3 linked regions of the Coturnix japonica genome follow. The protein of the gene in region 2 purifies or fractionates together with the protein of the main gene of each other region. This does not show direct contact. Links are inferred from orthologs where the notes say so. Each region holds a gene or a part of one and is shown on either strand. Other genes may lie near its edges. The genes, in order: PAK1, RHOU and NCK2.

The links.
Region 1: the proteins of RHOU (region 2) and PAK1 purify together in Homo sapiens (co-immunoprecipitation; 5 studies listed by BioGRID and IntAct, with this or other methods). This does not show direct contact. The link is inferred for Coturnix japonica from reciprocal best matches to the Homo sapiens genes RHOU and PAK1.
Region 3: the proteins of RHOU (region 2) and NCK2 purify together in Homo sapiens (co-immunoprecipitation; 3 studies listed by BioGRID and IntAct, with this or other methods). This does not show direct contact. The link is inferred for Coturnix japonica from reciprocal best matches to the Homo sapiens genes RHOU and NCK2.

What each region holds. Positions count from the first base shown.
Region 1 is NC_029516.1:172,808,309-172,815,399, forward strand, and holds the start of PAK1 (serine/threonine-protein kinase PAK 1), read left to right. Parts: upstream 1-3,145; 5' UTR 3,146-3,199; intron 3,200-7,091. UniProt on the Homo sapiens protein: Protein kinase involved in intracellular signaling pathways downstream of integrins and receptor-type kinases that plays an important role in cytoskeleton dynamics, in cell adhesion, migration, proliferation, apoptosis, mitosis, and in vesicle-mediated transport processes.
Region 2 is NC_029518.1:35,771,702-35,778,663, forward strand, and holds the start of RHOU (rho-related GTP-binding protein RhoU), read left to right. Parts: upstream 1-2,848; 5' UTR 2,849-2,863; coding exon 2,864-3,191; intron 3,192-3,702; coding exon 3,703-3,761; intron 3,762-6,252; coding exon 6,253-6,708; 3' UTR 6,709-6,962. UniProt on the Homo sapiens protein: Binds to and activates protein kinase PAK1. Plays a role in the regulation of cell morphology, cytoskeletal organization and focal adhesion assembly during cell migration. Also stimulates quiescent cells to reenter the cell cycle.
Region 3 is NC_029516.1:122,086,819-122,093,297, reverse strand, and holds the end of NCK2 (cytoplasmic protein NCK2), read right to left. Parts: intron 4,220-6,479; coding exon 4,025-4,219; 3' UTR 834-4,024; downstream 1-833. UniProt on the Homo sapiens protein: Adapter protein which associates with tyrosine-phosphorylated growth factor receptors or their cellular substrates. Maintains low levels of EIF2S1 phosphorylation by promoting its dephosphorylation by PP1.

The sequences.
Region 1 (7,091 bases), on a different chromosome or scaffold from region 2:
TTGAATTAGCAGCATGCCTCAAAACTGGGATGTAAGTACTTAGATTCAGCTGTTAGCTAATGAATCAAAGACTGAGCTTGTTGTTAAGCCTTTACCCATCTGTATTTTATGACTTCCAGAGCTACATAAGGCTTCCAGAATCAAATAGCCACTTGTGGCTTCCCTAGTATTCATCCTGACTTGCTGACTGCTCACCAAAGCACTGAGTGCTCTTAGCTGTCACTATGCAATTTCCTGGCTAAAGCAGATCTGGAATGTAAAAGTATTCATCATCAGAGGTTTTGCTGGATTCCAGGGCTTCGATGAAGCAGTAAGTGATGATTTAACATTGGAATGGCACAAAGATTCCTCTGGGTTTTTAACCAGCTACAGCATAGCTCAACAAACAAGAAAACCCTTAAGGAGAGCCTGAATGATTTGGGATGTAAGTGATCAAGAGTGAATGTAATTCAGAGCCAGGTTTGCCAAAATAGGTCTTATCTCTGTGTTTGGCCCAACTCTGGGCAGTGAAATCTCAGCAAATCAAAAGTTGGCATTTGAATTGGCATAAGCTGTCCAAAGTTTAAACTGCTTCTCTAGGACAGTAAAAAGTCTGCTACTTACATACATTTTGGAGCTCCAAATAGGGTTTTTTGGTGATGGCCACTACACACCATCTAACATCAGAATAGCTAAGGCAGGAACCAGGTGTTTTTGCTTTCTAGCAGACAGATGTTCTGGCCCTTACGTTATTTCACTAGTTGGATTCGCTGACATTGGAATTCCCTTCCCTTCCCTTCCCTTCCCTTTTTCCAATCATTGTCTGACTATTAAGCCTTGTCATTAAGTTTCTCCCTGTTTGTGACAATTCTTCAAGGTATTCTTGATATCTGATTCCTTGTAGGCTGAGGCCAACTTGTCTGTAATTGCTCAGACAGGTTCGAGTGGACAAATGATTGCGGGTGATTAAACTGGTACACCATAGCAAGGTACTATTCCTCAGTCCTGTGACTTCACATGCCCCTATATTCCCTGTGCATCATTTCAGTCAAGGCCTGGGATCCGATCTGGCTGAAAATCTTAGTAAAAATCTTAGGTGGAGAAGTTTGCTGATCCCTCCCAGGTGCACACATTGTCACACTGGCACGCTGCAGGGAGTAGCTAAGGAGCAGAGATGCACAACATGATATGAACCATCAATGCTGGTCTTGCTGATGGAGAATAAACTGTCAGGATGTGCCCCACAATATCTGGGCTCCTCTCTCTGCTCTGCATCTGAAGTATAAACAACTGAACAGTGTTGGTCTTTGAGGCCCGGGCTGGTCTCCCACAGAACTCTTTTATACCCATATTGAAAATGGGAGACCCTTGTGAGGTATAAGGAAACCTTTTCCTACCCAAACTGAAAATGGGCCATCTGAGTTTATCCCGAGTTCAAGGCAAGATGAATCATTTCTATGAAATTCCCCCTGAGCACTTTCTCTGCTCTGAGTACTTACAAGGCAAATAAATGATCTGCATTTCACTCATTCCTTTCTCAAGTACAAAACCTGGTTTGCTGCAGTAGCTCTGTCCCATTCTGACGCTGTGCATCTCAAACAGCTCTTCTGCCATGTGTTTGGGAATCCTCTCTGAAATACAATAGATAGAGAAGTTCTGGGATCTGGATCTATTCCAAACACTGCGTCGTAATCCCAGAATATTCTCAATGTTTCGCAGTGAATATAAAAAGATTTAAGTGAAACGATTTCTGAACCAAGATAACCTGTGCATAGACAAAGTCTTTTTGCTTTACAATGCTTCTAATTAAAGTGCAGTATTCTGGTTGTTCCGTGCTGCTGTGATACAAATATAACAGCAGCCATAGCAGGGGCTGTTGGAGCAATCCATGGGCTGATGGTGGGCCAGGCCTTAGGCCAACCACTGCCAGTAACTTCCCATCACCATTCTCCATATCACTGTCATGGGGTTGGATAAATGTGTTTGGTCAGATATCTTTCAGAGAGGGCACCCTTAGGAGTACTTTGGACCAGTCTCTCACCTGGCTTGTTTTCAAACTTGTTTTCAAAACTATCAGGGTGCATCCTTGTTTCTTAAGAGGTTTTCTTATTCAGAGTACAGAAAGAGTCACTCTTCGGGACTCGGTGTGGGATGGAAAGGGAGCTGTGCTCAGTTCTAACTTCAGCTCTGTGTGCTTCCTTTGCAGCTATGGAATCTGAGCTCAGCTGTGCAGTTTTCCTCGCTGCAGTGATCACGCACGACTCCCACGTACCTGGGGGTTCCCATATCTAGGGGGAAGTAACTGAGCATGTGGTTCAGCAACAGGTTAAGCTGATTGAAATCAGCCCTGCTGCACTCCAACCTTCCCTGCCACTCCTTGTGTTCTCACTTCCTCTATTTGTGTATTTCAGTCGGATTCATTAGCTCCTGAACAAACTTATCAGGGGAACTGATAAACGCTGATACAGGAGGGAAGGGCAAGGCTGTGCAATGCTGTTGTATACGAGCGTGCTGTGACTCTGTAAGATCAGGTCTGATGTGGTGACCTGCATTATTTGCCTCCCATGTATCTACCTGTTCCACTTAGCGTTTGACATCTCTGTCTAGACAGCCTCACCGTTTCCTTTTCCTGAATGCCTGTGATCAAACCCCACCTCTTCTCTCCCAGCAGAGCACAAGCGCGGTGCTGAACACTCCTGCTAACTACGGGGACAAGTTTCCAGCGAGCTTTGCATCGTGGGGGAGGACAAACCCCATCTCTTGCAGTATAAGGTAACATCCCTGCGATACGCACATCCTGCTGTGCAGCACAGCAGCAGGGCAGAGCCAGTTTCCCTTCTTTCCTTTTTTGGATCTGCGAGCCACACGGTCCCTAATGGAGCCGGTTCTGAGATACCGAGAACAGAAACCAAGTCACTACAGCCGGCCATCCCCTCCCCTCGGCCTTATCACCATAATCGCGAACCATCCTTCAGTCCCGCACCAACCCCGTGCTCTATAAGCACCGGGCACCGAACAACCAGCCCATCCCAAAGCTCCAACACAACACACCGGCTCCAAACTTCTCCCCCAACCTTGGGCTGCCCACCTTGGTGGAGGGGGCGGACTCCTGGACCCCTCCGGAGCCAATGATAGCGGGGAGGGTGCGGGGAGGCGGCGCCGGGCGGCCGCGGGGAGCGGGCAGGGCGGAGAGCGGGCGGCACCTTGCAGCGGGCGGAAGGTGAGTGCTGCTGGGCCGGGGATTTCCTCCGCGATCTTTTCTTTTTTCTTTTTGTAACTGGAAAGTTTGTAAAGAGGATGAGCGGCTGGGTTCTTATTTTTCTTCTCTCTTTCTCTCTCTCTTTTTTTTTTTTCCCTTCCCCTTTCCATTCAATTTAAGAAAGAGGTTTGGGGGGGGGGGGGGGGAACGGCATTGAGATCGCCTCCCTCCTGCTTTCCCAGCTCATTCATTTAACAAAGGGTGTTGTCTGTAGCCTCGGGCTGTGCGATCGAAAGCCGCTTGGGGTCTCCGGACGGAGGTTGAGGTGGGGGAGGTCGGGGCTCAGCCCGCACCTTGTGCTGGCTGCGGCTGGAGGGGCTGGGGGGTGAACACAAAGAGTTGAGGAGCCGGCCCATTGCTGGGTAATGCAGCCCCGGGCTTTGTGTGTGGCTGTATCGCAGGGATGCGGACGTGGGAGCGTGTTTCTCCTTTATCCCCCCGTTCCATGTGTGCGTGTATGAGATCTGTTGTTATTCAAGATCTTAAAAGCGAAGCTGAACTTAAGATCGTGGCACGACTCGGATAGGAAGGGACCTCACTAGGTCTACGGTCGAGCCCCTCCGGTTCGGATCGGGGAGCGAACGGCAGCGAGGAGACCTCGCGAGTTGGGTGGCACCTCTGGGTGCTCCTGGGAGCCCGAAGGAAAGGGAGCACAGCAGGGCGGGGGGGAGCAACTCTCGTCCCTTCCACAGTGCTTGGAAACCCGCATCTCTCCCGTGCCTGCAATCCATGCTCTCTTGCTGCTTTTGTTATCCAGAGGGTTTAAAATCCACGATTAGTGGGAAGAGCTGGCTCCATCCGCGTGTGTGTCACGGTGCATCTGCTCCTGCTGGGCATTGCTTGGTTCTTAACTCAGACATTACCTCCAGCAGCAAGATTTATAAATAAATAGATGTCAAGACCTGGCTCTTTGCTTGTTACCAGCTGTAAAGCATGTACTTTAGGTGGTGATTAAGTACACTGTGTGCGTATGTAAGAACAACTGTAGAAGCTGTTTAGTTCTAGCCAAGCTTTTTAAAGTGAAAGCAGACATTGTAGCTGGTGAAATGGCTGTGCTGGGCACGGGAGGGAGAGTGTTTGTTCTCCTTGCTTGCAGTTACTCTTTGTACAGTGACTCACCGGTACCTTTCACTGAACCACCTCCCCATTCTCCTTACCTGGAGTTTTCCTGGTGTTGCCTGGTGCATCAGGGAACATCATCATATCTGCTGCTCTAAGAGCCTTCCTGTTGTGTGGGTGCTTTCGTCTTGCTCATGTATAAGGCTTGAAGAACTCCTCCGTGTGGAACAGCTCATGGTGTGTGTCCACTGGGTGGTTAGACATTACTTTTCCCTCTGTGTTTTCTGTGGATTAGGCAGAAAAAGGGCTATAAGAAAGAAGGGGAGAGACTCTTTAACAGTCTGTGTTGTGATCTCTCAAGGGGAAATGGTTCCAAACTAAAAGAGGGGAGATTTAGATTGGATATAAGGTTGCCCAGAGAGGTGGCGGTGCCCCATCCCTGCAGGCAGTCATGGTCAGGCTGGATGGGCTCTGAGCACCTGGTGGAGCTGTGGGTGCCCCCATGCATTGCAGGGGAGTTGGATCAGATGGCCCTTAGAGAGCCCTTCCAACTCAAATGATCCTATGGTTTTGTGATAAAATATATTGCTTGCCTATTGCTTTTCTGGCTGGTTTGCTTGCACTGGAAATGCAAACTTATTCTTTTGCCCCAGAGATCTGCTGATTTTTGTGGATCCTTTCCCAGTTGTGTGCAGAACTTTGACTGCAAGTGCATGAATTTCACCTGGTTTCTTAAGTGGTTTTGTTTAACTTAAGACACCAGTGAGCTTCAGTGTGGCTTCAGTCTGTTCTGTACCTGTCTCACTTCATAGGTGTGGATAGTTTCATTATTTTGTAACCATAGCTGTGATGGCCCAGTTCCATTACATTCTTCTGGGTGTATTGAAACACCTATAAAAATAGACTTTTCTGGTTAGCAAAACAGAAACGATGCTGAGCTCCACCCTTCGAGTGATCTGGGTTTACAGTCCATCCTGTCAACAGCTCATGATAACAGAAGTAAATAGACTTCGTAAAGGGTCTGAGAAACAACCATGCTTTATGAGGAAGTATAGGAAAACAAACTGAGACCAAGCATCTGTAAACATCAGCCGTCTGTCTTTAAGTCTTGGCCGATTGTTTTCCCTTTGATGCATACAAAAATCTCTCTTGTTGGCTTTTTACCTCTTTGGGAAGGGGAAATACTATGTGTCAGAAATGTATTGTGCCTTTTTCTGTGCTTGCCCAAGAGCTGTGCTTGTGCTTTCAACCTCTGTAAGGAACTGGGAAGAATGTAAATGTGTTTTGCTTGATGGCAAGGGGCTTGATGGCAATATGGACTTGCGCATCTCTCACCTGGGGGGAGGTGCTTTGAAGCCCCATTCCCAGTGGGAGCAGGGCTGGGGCTGGCAGCAGATGCTCAGTGATGCAGCACGTAAGGCACAGAGATCAATTCTTCCCTCCTGAGCAAAAGGCATGTGATGCTCTTTAGGAATAGGTAGCTTGAAACAGCCCAGCACTATTTATGCTAACCAGACTTTTATTCATTAGAATTGAAAAGGCTCTTACAGGACATATAATTTATCATCATTTGGGAGGTAGTGGAGTCACCGTCCCTGAAGGTGTTCAAGAAACGTGTAGATGTTGTACTGAGGGACGTGGTTTAGTGGGTGGTGGTGATGGGTTGGTGGTTGGACTTGGTGATCTTAGTGATCTTTTCCAACCATAATGATTTTGTGATTCCCCAGTAGGTGCTTTAAAATAGGTCAGTGAGTTGCACTATAAAAACGCTGACTGCTCTTTGTGCTCAGGCTGGTCCCCTGGATCTCACTGTTATTGTGTTGTATGTGGAGCAGGTAGCTGAGAGGAGTTCTGCTTCCTCATCTTGATTTGAGGATCCAAGCAGCAGTGTTAACAAATGCACTGGTATTCTTGTATAGCTTTCTCTAGCTCCCTTCATTTTAGCAATTGTTTGCAGGGTGATGCAAAAGGAAACAAAAACAGCTATCTGATGAAGTGCATTTCCAGGTGAATTTGAAGAAACAGTGGAAGTATTCAGGTCTCGTTTATGTACCAATGTACTTCTGGTAAATTATCAAGGCTCTGGAGTAGCTGTTTAAGCTGGCAATCCACATGTCCTTTCTTCCCATCATATAGCAAACGGCGGCCTCTCTGTATCTCTTACATCTTGTCTGAGACACAGGTTAAACAGTAACTGTCCTTCCATGGTTTCCTTCCTTCTTGTAATCTGTGCTCTTTGGACCTGCTGCATAGCGTAAGGGCGAAATAAGCTGGCTGATATAACTCCCTTAAAAATCACTGTTTTTTTCCTACCTCTCTTCTAGAATTACTTAAGTCAGGTGGTGGTAAGTGAGGCATCCTGTTGTCAAGGAGGAGAATATGCTGATGGGATAAAAGAAAGGTCCTATTTTGGGTAAAACAGACCAAATCAGAAGATTGCAGAAGCAGTAATCAAGTGTTCTTTCAGAAAGGAAAGAATTTCTCCCACAATAACACTTTGTGATCCCAGTTAAGGTATAAGAACCATGGCATATGATATACTGATATATATATATATATATGATACACACACACACACACACACACACACATATATATACACATCTGATGTGTAGCTATTAAGATCTTGATCTTGGCCTTCAGCTATGGGGCTAACAGAAATCAAGTGGCAGGTCTGCATTGTGTGAGGCATAAAACCTTGTTTCATCCTCTGTTCTCTTCTTTTTCTATAACGTTAATCCATACATGTAATCGAAATGGAAAATGGAGGATAAAAATAAAAACTACTCATAAT
Region 2 (6,962 bases):
CCTTCTGAGATGTTGGCCCACATAGAGTGTGCGTGGCCCATCTCGGGATGCCCCAACATGAGGCATGCTGCCAAAGTCTCTCCTCTACTTCCCTCTCCTCTCTCTTCCCTCCCTTCTGAGATGTTCAGCCTAGGCCTTGGGGTTAACTGCCTCACTCAAGATTGTCTCTGCAACTCCGAGGCAAAAATAGCATGTAAAAATCTCTTGTGAGCAGAAGCACAAGGACACTGCTCCATCCCTGCAGCAGAGCTCCATCCCTGTGCCCCAGGCTGTGGGCCAGCCCTGAGCCATGAGGAGCTCTAGGATGGACAGATTGGTAACTGCCATACAGTGCTCAGGGCACACAGTGCCCGCCAGCAGCTGTGGTCTGAGATGGGCTGAAAAGGATGTTAAAAGTGAGATAAAGGGATCACCTCCCACAGCGACTCCCCTGCAGAGGTACTGCAGATAGGAGGCAAGAGTTAATTTGTTTTCTGAATTAATCAGGGACTTAAGAGGCTCGAAGCAATTCTGCTTTGTTTAGTTTTGTTTTATTTTGCTTACAGGTTGACTTCAACAATCCATTTCTTTGAGTTCATGTTAGTGCCTTCTCAATCTGAACTCTGTTGGAGGGGCAGGGGGAGATTACTGTGTTAATAATGTGTGCTGGTTCCTGAGCCCTTTCCCCAGGTAGTGAAAACTTGCTTGAGGTTTATATCATCAGTGATGAACATGTTCTTTAAAAAAAGCCCCGGCAAATATATATATAATATATATAATATATATTTCCAGCTGTGGGCTTGCTGGAAAAGCAAAGAGTGGGTGCCTGGTGACGGCCCCATGTAGCAGGCTGTACCCTGCCCTGCACCAGCAGCACTGCATCACGTCATACCCACTGCCTTGCTCCGTGTCAGGCTTGTCAAGTTTCTGCAGGAAGGAAAAAAAAAGAGAAAGCTTTCATTCTACAAGGCCAGCACCCCGTTCAGATTCTTTGTATCACAGGGAAAATGATAAGCCAGGATATAACAATGACCTACTTCACGTCTTGATAAAATAATTTCCTCTCTCTGTCATTTTCCTCAAAGAATAGTATTCGACTAACACAAGCACGTATGATAGAGCGGGAGCTGATAACAGATCAGCCCTGGGACAGCCAGCAGCACACTAGTGACCTGCATGGAACTAAGCTTCGTTATCCCACAGCTCAGCTCTGAAAACAGCTGTGTTCCAACCTGCAAGATGGGTGCACACTGTAGATCTGGGCTGACAGCTTCAGGGACAGTGGCTGTCACTCAGAGCATCCTCCATGCAGGATGGCACCACTGTTGGGGTTGCCCCAGCTTGCTGCTATGGTGTGGGTGGGAACCCCCCCTGCATAACAACAGCTTAGATCATCCTCTCATACAAAGGGCTACTGTATCTGGCAGGGCGCATTACAGTATAGCACAGATATGCAGCTCCCAGGCTGCTCCCGCCCTGCCAGTGCAGGAACAATGTGGACAGTTGTAGTCATCTAACCAATACATCAACTGTTTTTGGCCACCGAAGGTGTTCGAAAATGCACACATGGCATTTATCACTTGCAGTGTTTGCAGTGAAGAGCTTTTTCACATCATCCTTCAACACTGTTCAGAATCACATAATTATCAAGGTTGGAAAAGACCTAGAAGATCATCTAGTCCAACCATTACCAATACTTCCTGGCTAAATCATATTCCTCAGCACCACATCCAAGCGTTTCTTGAACACTCCCATGGTCGGTGACTCCACCACCTCCCTGGGCAGTGCATTCCAATGCCTGACTACCCTTTCCGAGAAGTAATACTTCCTAATGTCCAGCCTGAATCTCCCCTGGCGCAGCTTAAAACCATTCCCTCTAGTTCTATCACTGATTACACGAGAGAAGAGGCCAACCCCCAGCTCACTACAACCTCCCTTCAGGAAGTTATAGAGAGCAATAAGGTCTCCCCTGAGCCTCCTCTTCTCCAGGCTGAACAATCCCAGCTCCCTCAGCAGCTCCTCATAAGGCCTGTGCTCCAGACCCCTCATCAGCTTCGTAGCCCTCCTCTGGACGCGTTCCAGGGCCTCAATGTCCAGAGGAGGGCTACAAAGCTGGTTCAAAGTGATGTTCAGCACTTTCCAGCATGGCGTACCACTTCATAGCACCAACAGCGTGCACGGTGTGTGGGACGCTAAGACAAAATACAGCTGGGATGTAATTAGAGTTCAACTCTTCTTCAATCTCTTCAGAGTGGAAGTGAGTTGATAGCCCAGGCTGCAGCTGCGGCTCTGCCCTGCCCAGCACAGCACAGCACACAGCAGGTGCCCTCAGGCACCCCACGAGGGCTGGCAGCAGCATCACTATAACTCAAGGGACGCACCAGGCAGCGGACAGCGGGCGGCCCCGACGGTGCAGGCGGCGCACCCCCTCCGCTCCATCCAATGGTGACTCCCGCCGCCCCTACCGGCAGCCGCAGCCGTCGGGCGGGCGGAGCGGGCGCCGTGGCGCCGCCTGCCGGGCTGGGTCCGGCCGCACCGCGCGGCTCCTCCCCACTCGGCGCTATGTCACGCGGCGGAGCGGGGCTGGAGACTCGGACTTGGTAGCGAGGCGAGCACAGCACAGCACAGCGCAGCACAGCACGGCACGGCCAGCCGGGGTCTCGTCGCCGGCAGCGCTGTAGGAGCCGCTCGCCCTCTCTCCCTCCCCCGGGAAGCGCCCGCTCCACCGGTGCTGGCTTCGCGGCGGCCGCGCCGCTCCTGCCGACCCGCGGCTGCTCCGCACCGCTCTCCCGTCGCCGCCGTCTCCGCTCCCCGCCGCTCCCCGGCCGGCGGCCCCGCGCCGCGCGCCGCCTCCCGGCCGGCGGTACCGCGCGGCGCCGTTCGGATGCCGCCGCAGCAGGAGGGCGAGGCGGGCTACATCAGCAAGCCGGTGCCGGGCGGCTGCGAGGTGCCGCCGGTTCCCCCGCGCAGGGTGCGCAGCGGGCGGGCGGCGGCGGCGCTGGGGGCGGCGCTGGGCGGCCGCTGCCGGGCGGCGGGGAGCGGAGCCGGGACCTCGGCGGGGAGCGGGGCGGGGGCCGGAGCCGAGCCGCGGCGCAGCATCAAGTGCGTGCTGGTGGGAGACGGCGCCGTGGGCAAGACGAGCCTGGTCGTCAGCTACACCACCAACGGGTACCCCGACGAGTACCAGCCCACCGCCCTCGACACCTTCTCAGGTAAGCGGGACCGCGGGGCAGCGGCGGCGTGGTGGGGGGGGGTTGTTCCCGGGGTGCCCGCGGACGGCACGCTACAGCGGAGCGGCTTGAATAGGGAGATAGCAGGGCTGGAGTTTCGTCCCCCTCGAGGGACGCCGGACATGTGTGGTTCTACCCGGCCAGAGGCGGCTGCGGAGGGTGAGGCTCCGCTCCGTGTGCCTTCGGCCCGGCGGGGGCTCTCCGTGCTTGAGAACGTGTAAAAGGATCGCGGAATAAGGCCCCTACAGCAGGGAAAGGCACAGAGCGGGGCTATGAAGCAGAGAGTCCACAGGGCTTCTGCGTGCCTGGTAGCTGGTGCTAGACCCGGCTCCAGCCCTGTGAGCTGTTACATCCAGCCTAAGCGAAAGGAAAGGCTGTGAAGACAGAGACCGTATCTCTCCTTTCCTTTCCTTTTTTTTTTTTTTTTTTCCTAAAGGAAAATGTGCAAGTTGAACTCAACACGCTTTTCTTTCCCCCTCCTGTCTCCCCCTAGCCGTGGTGTCTGTGGATGGCAAGCCGGTGCGACTGCAGCTCTGCGACACAGCCGGGCAGGTCAGTGAAGCCACCAAACCCAGTGACAGCAGGAGGGAAGGGGGGAGGGCCCTGGGGAAGAGGTCACACAAAGCGGCCCCGGTGGTGACCCCGGGGTCTGGAAGGCCACCTGGTATTCCCTGAGAGCAGTTATCACCGCCTTCATTTTCTTAGTTAAATAACCACGGAAATGAGGATTACTTTGTTTGGAGCACAGACGTTTACACGTTCATAGCTGTAGGTATGGAGAGGTGGAACTGTGCTGTTAAAGGGACTTGAGGGAGAAAGAAAATACCATTTGGTGGCATCCGTGGAGACTTCGCGCTTTCAATTCCCATCTACTATGAAGTGCTGTCTCTTCTGAGCTCACCAGCTCCTCGTTTGCCTGACTAGAGCCCCCATCTCTTGTGTTCTCTGCATGTTCTTGGCCTGTGTGTGCCATAAAAACATGCGGTACTGTTTGAGTCCCTTGTAGCTTGAAGTTTTTTTGCTACTTAACTTGTTTCTGAAGGGGATGGGAACTGGATTCGTGATCTGCTTTGTAGATCCAGGTCTATGGCATCCCCAAAGCCACATGGATGAATCTCAGTGGCCTTAGCACACAAACCTAGTTAGGTGCTCTGCAAGCAGGTGCCCTACTTAAGGAAGGACTTTAGAGGGCCGCGCAGTCCTGGTAGCAGTGTAGGGCTTCCGTCTGCCCTACAAACCCAACCTGAAAACCTGCAAGCAGGTTATTACCTGCCTTCTGCAGGTAGTAGCATCAGGTGTCCCTTGGTGTGATGCCAGGGTGGATCCCTGTGTGTGCTCATAAGCAGAGTGTGCAGGTGATGCCACCTGTGCGGTGACAGCCTGTGGGTATAGAGCCCAGGCCAGGTGGTGCCAGCTAGTCTGCTTTCCTTCACTGCTACAGAATGGTTCTGGTGTTGGGCTGTCCAAGTGCCCTGGAACAGGGGGAGTTGTCTGCAGCATTAGTCATCTTGAATAAAATACACCTGGCTGGGTGAGATTGCTGCTGGAATCTGCAGCTGAAAGAGCACTCCAAGCAGAGTGAAATTCCAGCTATTTCAGTGTCGGCAGCCTGAAGAGGTACAGAGCCCTGCAGTCTGTGTACCTGCCATTGAAACCGCAGGAGTGCACTTGGAACATAAAGGGTGCCGTTCCTTCTGGGCAGGAACCCTTAAGATCTGGGTTTGGCTTTCAAGCCCATTGAATCCAGCGCTGCTGAGGTTTCTCACGTTGCAGGAAGAGGCAGTTAGGTGGTGAGATGCCTCGCTGCAAATGGCCCCGTCCTTCAGTGCTGCAGCTCAGTGAGCACAGGGCTCCTCCAGTCAAATGGTGAGAACCCGCACTCCTGTGAGCCTTAATCAGGGAATCAGCAGAGCTAATGAAGCTTGCTGTCTTGACTCTTGTTTTATAAATTGCTGTCTCTCTCGGAGTTGCTGCTGGAAGAAATTCATTCAAGTAGAACGAGACTTGTGAGGCTTCCAGCGAGCTTTAAGCTGCATATCCTGGGCCCTCACGGGCTTTAAAGCAGAATTTCCCATCTTGAAAATGAACACACGACTTGCAATTAAATGCTGGTGTTGGAGAAATGTCTTCAGCCGCGTTTGTTCTCTGCGCTTTAAATTCAGAGCTTTTGAGAACATGTCCATTTTAATTAAAATGTCACTTGGTAGAGGCAAATCCTACCTGCTCAGGCTGCTGGTGTTACCCTGCTTTCATCCTGCTGTCAGCATCAAGGGCTGTGTGCAGTTAGTTAACCCTCTGCTTCTTGCTGCATTCTTTGCTCCTTTATTACCTTCAGGTGCTCGGCTTTCTTGCTGCTACCTCCTGAAGCAGCAGAAGGGCCTTGCTTTGTTGGGAGTTTCCTCTAACAAAAAGAGGAAAGGGGAGAGGAGGGGGGGAAAAAAAAAAAGATAGCACCGGGAGGCCTCTCTGCAGTTTGTTTGATGTGGCATGGGTGGGAGGGAAAGGTAAAGCTCTTATTCCATGCCATTGGCATGTTAAGCCCGTGCATTGTGATTCGCTGTTGCTGCCATCAGGATTTAAATCCCCGGGCACAAAGGCAGGGAAATTATTGCCTCTCCTGTAGGATGTTGTTAAGTAGTGCTGGTTTCAAAATGTTTCCGGCCTGGTGTGTGCTTGCTGCCACTTGTCTGCTGTGCTCTCATCAGGGTATGCAGGCAGGACAGCACCTCGGAGGTCTGTGTACCTTTAACCTCCCATACCTCCCTTTTTAGCTTCATTGCTCTCTGTGGCTCTGCTGGTCCTTTTTCTGGTTTGAAATAGGGCTGATGTAGAAGTAGCAAAGGAAATACATAAACACTTGACGCTGCAGCATTAGGAGAGCTCATCCAGATGGGAGCTTGTGGCTAGGCATGGCTGGGCCTTGGGTTTGCAATTGGGCTCATGTTCTGGTACTGTGGTCTCCCCAGAGGACAAGGGTTGAAGCTGGGGTCGTTTTGCGGCCTACACTGTTTGTCATGTGCTAACACATTGTTGTTCTGTACAGGATGAGTTTGACAAGCTGAGGCCGCTGTGCTACACCAACACAGACATCTTCCTGCTGTGCTTCAGCGTTGTCAGCCCTTCATCCTTCCAGAACGTCAGTGAGAAGTGGGTTCCCGAGATCCGATGTCACTGCCCCAAGGCACCCATCATCCTGGTGGGGACGCAGTCGGACCTCCGGGAGGACGTCAAGGTGCTCATTGAGCTGGACAAGTGCAAGGAGAAGCCAGTCCCAGAGGAGGCCGCAAAGCTCTGTGCTGAGGAAATAAAAGCTGCGTCCTACATCGAGTGCTCGGCTTTGACTCAGAAAAACCTCAAGGAGGTCTTTGATGCGGCCATTGTGGCCGGAATTCAGTACTCAGATACCCAACAGCAACCAAAGAAATCCAAGTGTAGGACTCCAGACAAGATGAAAAACCTCTCCAAATCCTGGTGGAAAAAATACTGCTGTTTTGTATAGAAGTTGCGAGGACCCGAGTGCTGCTCTGAGGAAATCAAATAGAGGCTATATTAGCTGAAATCTCATTCTGTGTTGTCCCAGGTGTATAGCTTAGGTCTGTATGTATGTGTATATGTTGCTACTTGGTATCTCCGTTGCCCTCGTGAGGGTAGCAGAAGGATTTGTAGTTAAATCATGGCTATAAATCAGATCTGGCGTTGAGTTTCGTGACTAAAATCTTTCATTGCGGAAGAAGTGCACCACGTGTCTGTGAA
Region 3 (6,479 bases), on a different chromosome or scaffold from region 2:
GTTTAAGACTCAGCACCGTGCTGCAAGTTCACGCTTTTTCTAATTTGGAGCTGGCAAGCAACTGCCTGGCTTAGGACCTGAGAAAAAGCTTGTGCCCATTCATCTGCAAAAGAGAGTAAATCCTAAAGCTCTCCGATTTATTTATTTATTTAGCCAAGTACTAGCATGGGTAACAGCAACATGGCAGTGGAGGCACTGACAAACAGTATCAGGTCCCAGATATATGCAGTTCTGAAGTGGCTAAAAAATGGTAGCAAAACACTCCTCTAAGTTTTCTCTCAAAAAACAAAACACTGGTGATAGACAGGACCTCCTCCCAGCCCTTCTGGACACCTTTCAGTCTGCAAGACTGAACAGCAAAAAATCAAGGACCAAGAGGAACAGCAACCTAAGTAAAGCCTTAGGAAAGGAATGGCACAGCTTACAAGGATGTGCAAGTTCAGAAGTGAGAGGATTTGACCATCTTGTCAACTAGTAGCAGAGTCAGAAAACTCATTCACTGTTCTATGTAAACTGTATCAAGGCAAGAAAATATTCAACAACTATACAAATGTAATACTTCAAAACTAAACAGATGCACCTCTATGAACCAGGTATGATAAGGAAAGCCAGGCTTCATCATTAAGAAAAATCACCACTTTATCAGACATTATTTGAGCCTTTAATGAAAACTGCAGGAGAAGAAACTCAGGTAACCACAATTCCTATAATCTCACAACAAAACACACCCCCTAATCCCATGTTTCGACAAAGATGCTTCAAGTACTCAAAAAATAAAGATTATAATTTTGTCAAAAGATAGGAAGTGTAGGTATAAAATGAGGAAACAAAAATCCATGTTATACCATCCTTTATTAAACTGTTACCACTGAAAATTTTTAATGCTTAAGGCCCAATCCAGAAAACGAGGTCAAAAAGGCAGTAAAACTTGCAGAAACCTATCTTAATTAGCAAGGACTGGGAACAACTGAAGACCTATTAATGAGCCTGCTGAATAGACTGCATGTTGATTAAATACGGAGTGGGCAAAAACAAGATGAAGCTTGTTTCAAAAAAAAATAATTCAAGCTAGTTGTTCATAAGGCTGGATCATAAATTAACGTTAGTTACTGCTTCCAAACAAAATACTCCAGTGGTTGGCGCCTCTATATTCAGAAGCTGTTCACAAGGCAAGAGGTGGAAGAAAAAAATAAAAGGATTGTAAATCCCTTAGAATATCGAGCATATGGTAAAAATCTCACTTGGAGGTCTATTTGATTTAGTTCTAATCTATCAAGACTAGAAAGGGGTTCGGAACTTTCAGTGGAAAAAAGAAAAGCAAAATAGGAAACGCACAGCAAGAGGCATAGAAAGACTCTTGGAACACAAAATACAGTGAATGTTTCAGAAAAATGAACATGGGGCAACATGAAAGAGTAACTGTAGTTGTTGATTTACTGAAAAACATTCCCACGTACCACTTTTTGAAACACTACAAAGAGGCAATGGGACTGAAAAGCAACTCACTCCGAACTGAAAACACACAGCATGTAGTTGGCTTTCTTAATGTCTTTGTCATACTCAAGGTACATGCTTACATTGAGCTAAATGAGTAACTAGATATTACACAGCAAAAGCCCTATGGCCTCTGCAGAACTCACTTAAAAGGTTAAGAAGAAACCAACTGTGATGTCCTGGCAAGAAGGATGTAAACAAGGGGCACTTCTCAGCAACTCCATAATGAAAATTTCTCTGCTCCCATAATCTAGCCATGGGTATGTTCTTGCCAGGATGAAGAAGAGTGATTGTTCTGGTCTGTCTTATATAACTACCCTTATTCACAAAGCTGGACCATGCAGAAGTTTCAGTGCCCGATTTTTGTTTACCCACATACAGTTGTTAATTCATACACAGTTCTAATCCAGATAATCTCACAGAAATAAGAGCAGCTGTGGAAGAATAACATGTGTATAACTCATGAAGTTGTACGTTGGTTGCTCTGAAAGTAATGCCTCGATTTACTTCCATCGAAACTACCACAGATACAAAGAGCACAATAACACTATTTGATAGAACAAATTCTCAGCTACAAAACACTCTTTTTCAACAGTCATCACCATCAGCTATGCATTTTTGCCAGCGATGAACAAGAGCCTGCATGCCACACTCATAAAAATCTGCATGGCCATCCAGAACATGGCTTGTCTTTCATGTTGCTGTCACCACTGCTGAAATGCACCACCCACCGCCTCACTGTGCTCACATCCACTGTCTGGTCTCCATTAAGTTCCAGCAAATGATGATGAATGTCAATGGGTGCCATTTTTTTCTGCATGGAGGAATTCAACTAGACACCTTTGTTTCATACACACTTTCATGTCAGACATCATTGCATCAGAGTGCTGCCATCTGTCACACAGCAGCAAAATGTTACAGAATGTTGGTGGGAATGCTCAGCCCCTACTACCGTCCTACTAATATCCACCTCTGACTTCATAATAATAAATAGGAGACATTACTTTCAGAGCAGCCCTCAGCTGGTGCTTGTTCTGCCTACACTGGAGTTATGCATGTATCACCACTGGCTGAAATACAAAAATCTGTAAGGAAGACTTAATAGCAAAAAAAGGTCCCATAAAAGAGCTCCATCTTGCAGTTTTCATTAAAGCTATAAACAAATCACAGAGAGAATCAATGTGGAGCTCATTAGACACCGCCTCGTATCAACCTGAACTCTGCAGTGGCACATATTTTCTTTGTAGGCCACACACATTCCAAGACAGGCAAATTCAGAATTTACTCTATTTGACCTTTCTAAAGCCACGCCAGAACTACCACCCAAGGATAAACCCAGTACTCCATCATGACATAATACCTTTTTTATTACAATATCCAAAAAACTGAGTACGCAAGATTTTGAGATCTCAAGATCCCTTCTTCAATCTCAGGAGTGTGCCATCTAAAGTCTGTATATTTAAACCATAAAGGAGTTTAAATGTAAAGAAAAGAGAAAAAAGCATTTTCTTCATAAACATTCTGTGTGTCTCTTCCTACCAATCACACCACCCTCCATAAAACCTGAAGTTTCCTTTCTGTAAAGCAAATATATATATAGTGTTGGTAGCCCACCCCACCCTGTCCCCTGATCAGTTTTTATTAATTTTCTGTATTAGTGTCAACAATCAGCTACAGATACATATTACTTTGAGAATTAAATACATAATTGTTTAATTCAAACAAGCAGAAGGGCAAGAGGAAAAAAGCATTATGTGGATGGCACATTTGGTTGTAGATTACCAGAACATTCAGTCTTTACAATTCAATGATTCTCTCTTTAGTAATCAACTTTCAAATAAAATTTCTCTTTGTTGCAATTACAGACCAAAATACACTAGATAGTTTTCTTTTACTACAATCTTACCATAGTAGTTTAAGAAGTACTATTACAAAACGCTTTAATTAGTGTACTCTTTGCAAAGAGTCAGAGAGGCAATGTAATAGCAGAGTACAGTGTAAAGAGTGCTTCTAGGAACTAGGAGTTTTTGTAATATACTACCTGGTAAGCAATATAGCTACAGAACTCACAGCCACAACTGTTATGTCTACTATATCTCACTTACTTAGCTGCAGCCTCAGTGCATTCAAACTGTGCCCGATGTCTCTTAACAAAGAGTTCTGTCTGTCTGCGTGAGCAATTTGAACAGGTTAACACTGGGTTGAATTGCAAACCCCCCTCCTTTATCCGAGCTAAGTATGTAAACGTACACAGAAGAGGGGAGTTTAGAACTCGGACATGGAAGTGAGTGCTTACAATGGCCACAGAGGTGAACTTCTCAACCTGAAGGGAGGTGATCTGAGATTAACAGAACTGAAACACAAAAGTAGGCAAACGAAAAAGGACAAATAACAACCAACAGAGCAAACACGTTAGAAAGAGCCTACTCTTTAAGCCTGCTTCGGATATTGCTCTGCTCTATAAAAGTGATTTTAGGACCTAAGGCTTGGAAGTTAGAAGGGGCCTGGGTGGCCAAGTCCATCTTCATCGTCACTGAAGTGCTTTCACAAGATATAGCTTTTCCCCGTGTTCACTGGTGAAGATGGGTGCCTTTTTGTAGTGTTCCACCAACTCATCCATAGTATTAAAGCGACGCTGCCCAATACAATAGACATTGTCCACGAGCTGCACCTTGAAATGTTTGTTCTTCCCCGATGCTTTTAGAGATACCGAGAAGTCACTGGGCTGTTGGGAATAATTCAAAAAGAAAAAGAAAGAGTTACATAAAAGTGAACAAAAAGAAGGCACAGTATGGTGGTTTCAAGAACAAACTGAAATACAGCTGACAGCGTAATTTGTGTTAGTCTTTGTTCCACAGCTCAGTGCCTCAGCTACTTAAGAAACCCAATAGTCTATTATTCAATAAATAATTGCCATCGTGCACAGTTAAGTCATTTAAGTGAAGCTCCCCAGATGCATAGTCTGAAGTTGCCAATTACATGACTAAATTGCAAATATTATCTTAGTTCCTCCATGCAGAAGCACAAGAATGTCAAGGAGAACAGGAAAACTTTCATCATTTTGGTTTCTTTGCTCGAGAGCCCTGGAGAAAGCTATTACTGCAGTAATACTTGGGTGAGACGAAGCAAACTCCCTGCATCATTTCTTTAATTATTGTTTTTTATCATTTTTTTGAGCTGTGACCACTAGAGGGCCATTCTTGCTTTGTACTGCAAAAGAAAAAAAAATTCAAAAAAAGATGCCTTTTTTTTATCTTCATCACCACATGCATAGGAAATGATGTCTTCTACCACGTACACCCTTTTCTTAACAGGATAAAGCTATAGAACAAAAATATAGTACAAACTGCACCATCAGCCACCAGCCATGAAAGACAAATTTAACCACTAATTAAATTATCCAGAACAGAGCAATTCTGCATGATAAAACTTTGTAAATCTTCAAGTCTTTGGTGAGTGGTTGCTTTGAGAAGGCTGCAGTTAGAACAGGCAGGACATGAGCCCACCACCCATCCTTCACCAAACACAGCTGGCAACACTGAGAACCAGATCACTGCACTCACTCCAACAAAGCAAAACCCATGAGGGAGCGTTCGGTTCACAATATCATGCGCAAGCTCTGTCCCAGCACAGCTGCAGCACAGTGGGGGAGTGGGAACCTCCCGATGTCAACACGGTCGCCAGTTTTGCTTTGGGAAGATGTGCTGGGGGCCTGGTACACACTAGAGTATCTATCCAAAGTGAGCCACTTCCTTCTCCTGGAGAGATGTGGGTCTCTGCCACACATACCCTCCATATCCTGCGCTGCCCCAAATCGTGATCCTGAATCTCACCTAACTGTTTTAGTATTGATACCTTCTATTCCTTCTCCATCCTACTCCATCCATGCTGCTAAAAACAATTCCAGACCTGTCAGGATCTAGCTGAACCTCCTGGATCTGCATAACCGCAGCATACAGAGCTGTGTCAGGAAGCCCCAGCACAGAGCCTATGCTTCGGCAGAAATCTTCTTCCTAGTCCCTAATGAATGGTCATCAAAGGGTAATGACAAATCTGCAGCTGAAGCACAGGTCTGCACAAGCACAGCTTTGAATGCATCCCAGGGTGCTGGGCTTGCTGCAGAGCAGCTCAGGGCACAAGCTCTGAGTATGAGCCACTTTGCAGCTCCACAGAGCCCTTCAAAGGGACAGCATGGGGACAAGTACTATAGGACAGGCTGCTTGAGGTGCAAAAAACAAGATCAAGTCTTGTTGAACAAATTCTGAAGCTTCTAAGTCTATGCTCAGTGGAAACAGGATGCAGTACTGGCAGAGGTGCTGATTCTAGACCTCTGTCCCAAGCACGACACCATAAATACATTTCCAATCACTTTTGTTATGAACTTTCATGAATGGTCATTTTCCTGAACTACGGTCTTTTTTTCCATCCTCAGAGCTGCTAATTAGATTTGTGCTTAAAGAGGAGACATCAGTACTGCTTATCTTCTCCAGAATATATGTTACAAAGTTTACCCTTTCCACAATCTAATTCAGTTACAAAAATAGCGGAAAAGCTGATCTAACTCTTTTGAGAGCCACCATCCGGTGCAAAGAGATGGAAGAGCTTGAACAGCTGTTGCAGAAACCCTGAAACCCTTTATTGGCCTCAAATTAATAAATTCACCAGGATGCAAGAAAAAACAGCACGATCAACCAGACCTACAGCTACTTTCATTTTGGTATTTCCCCAATGTATCCAACATGCAAGATGGTTTAAAAAAAAAAAAAAACTCATTTTAAAAATATATCTGCAGATTAATTAGAGCTCTTAACATTACTGCTCTAAAGTATGCTGGTTTGATGCAGCTTGAATTGGTTCCCTGCTGTCCTCTTTGGATTTGCTCCAACTCTGTTTATTTACTATTTAAGCTGTTTTATTTCAACTGCTGGCCATCTTTGCCTCCCTTCTCCCTCTTAAATTAATTGCTGGATTTGGATGTTTGCACG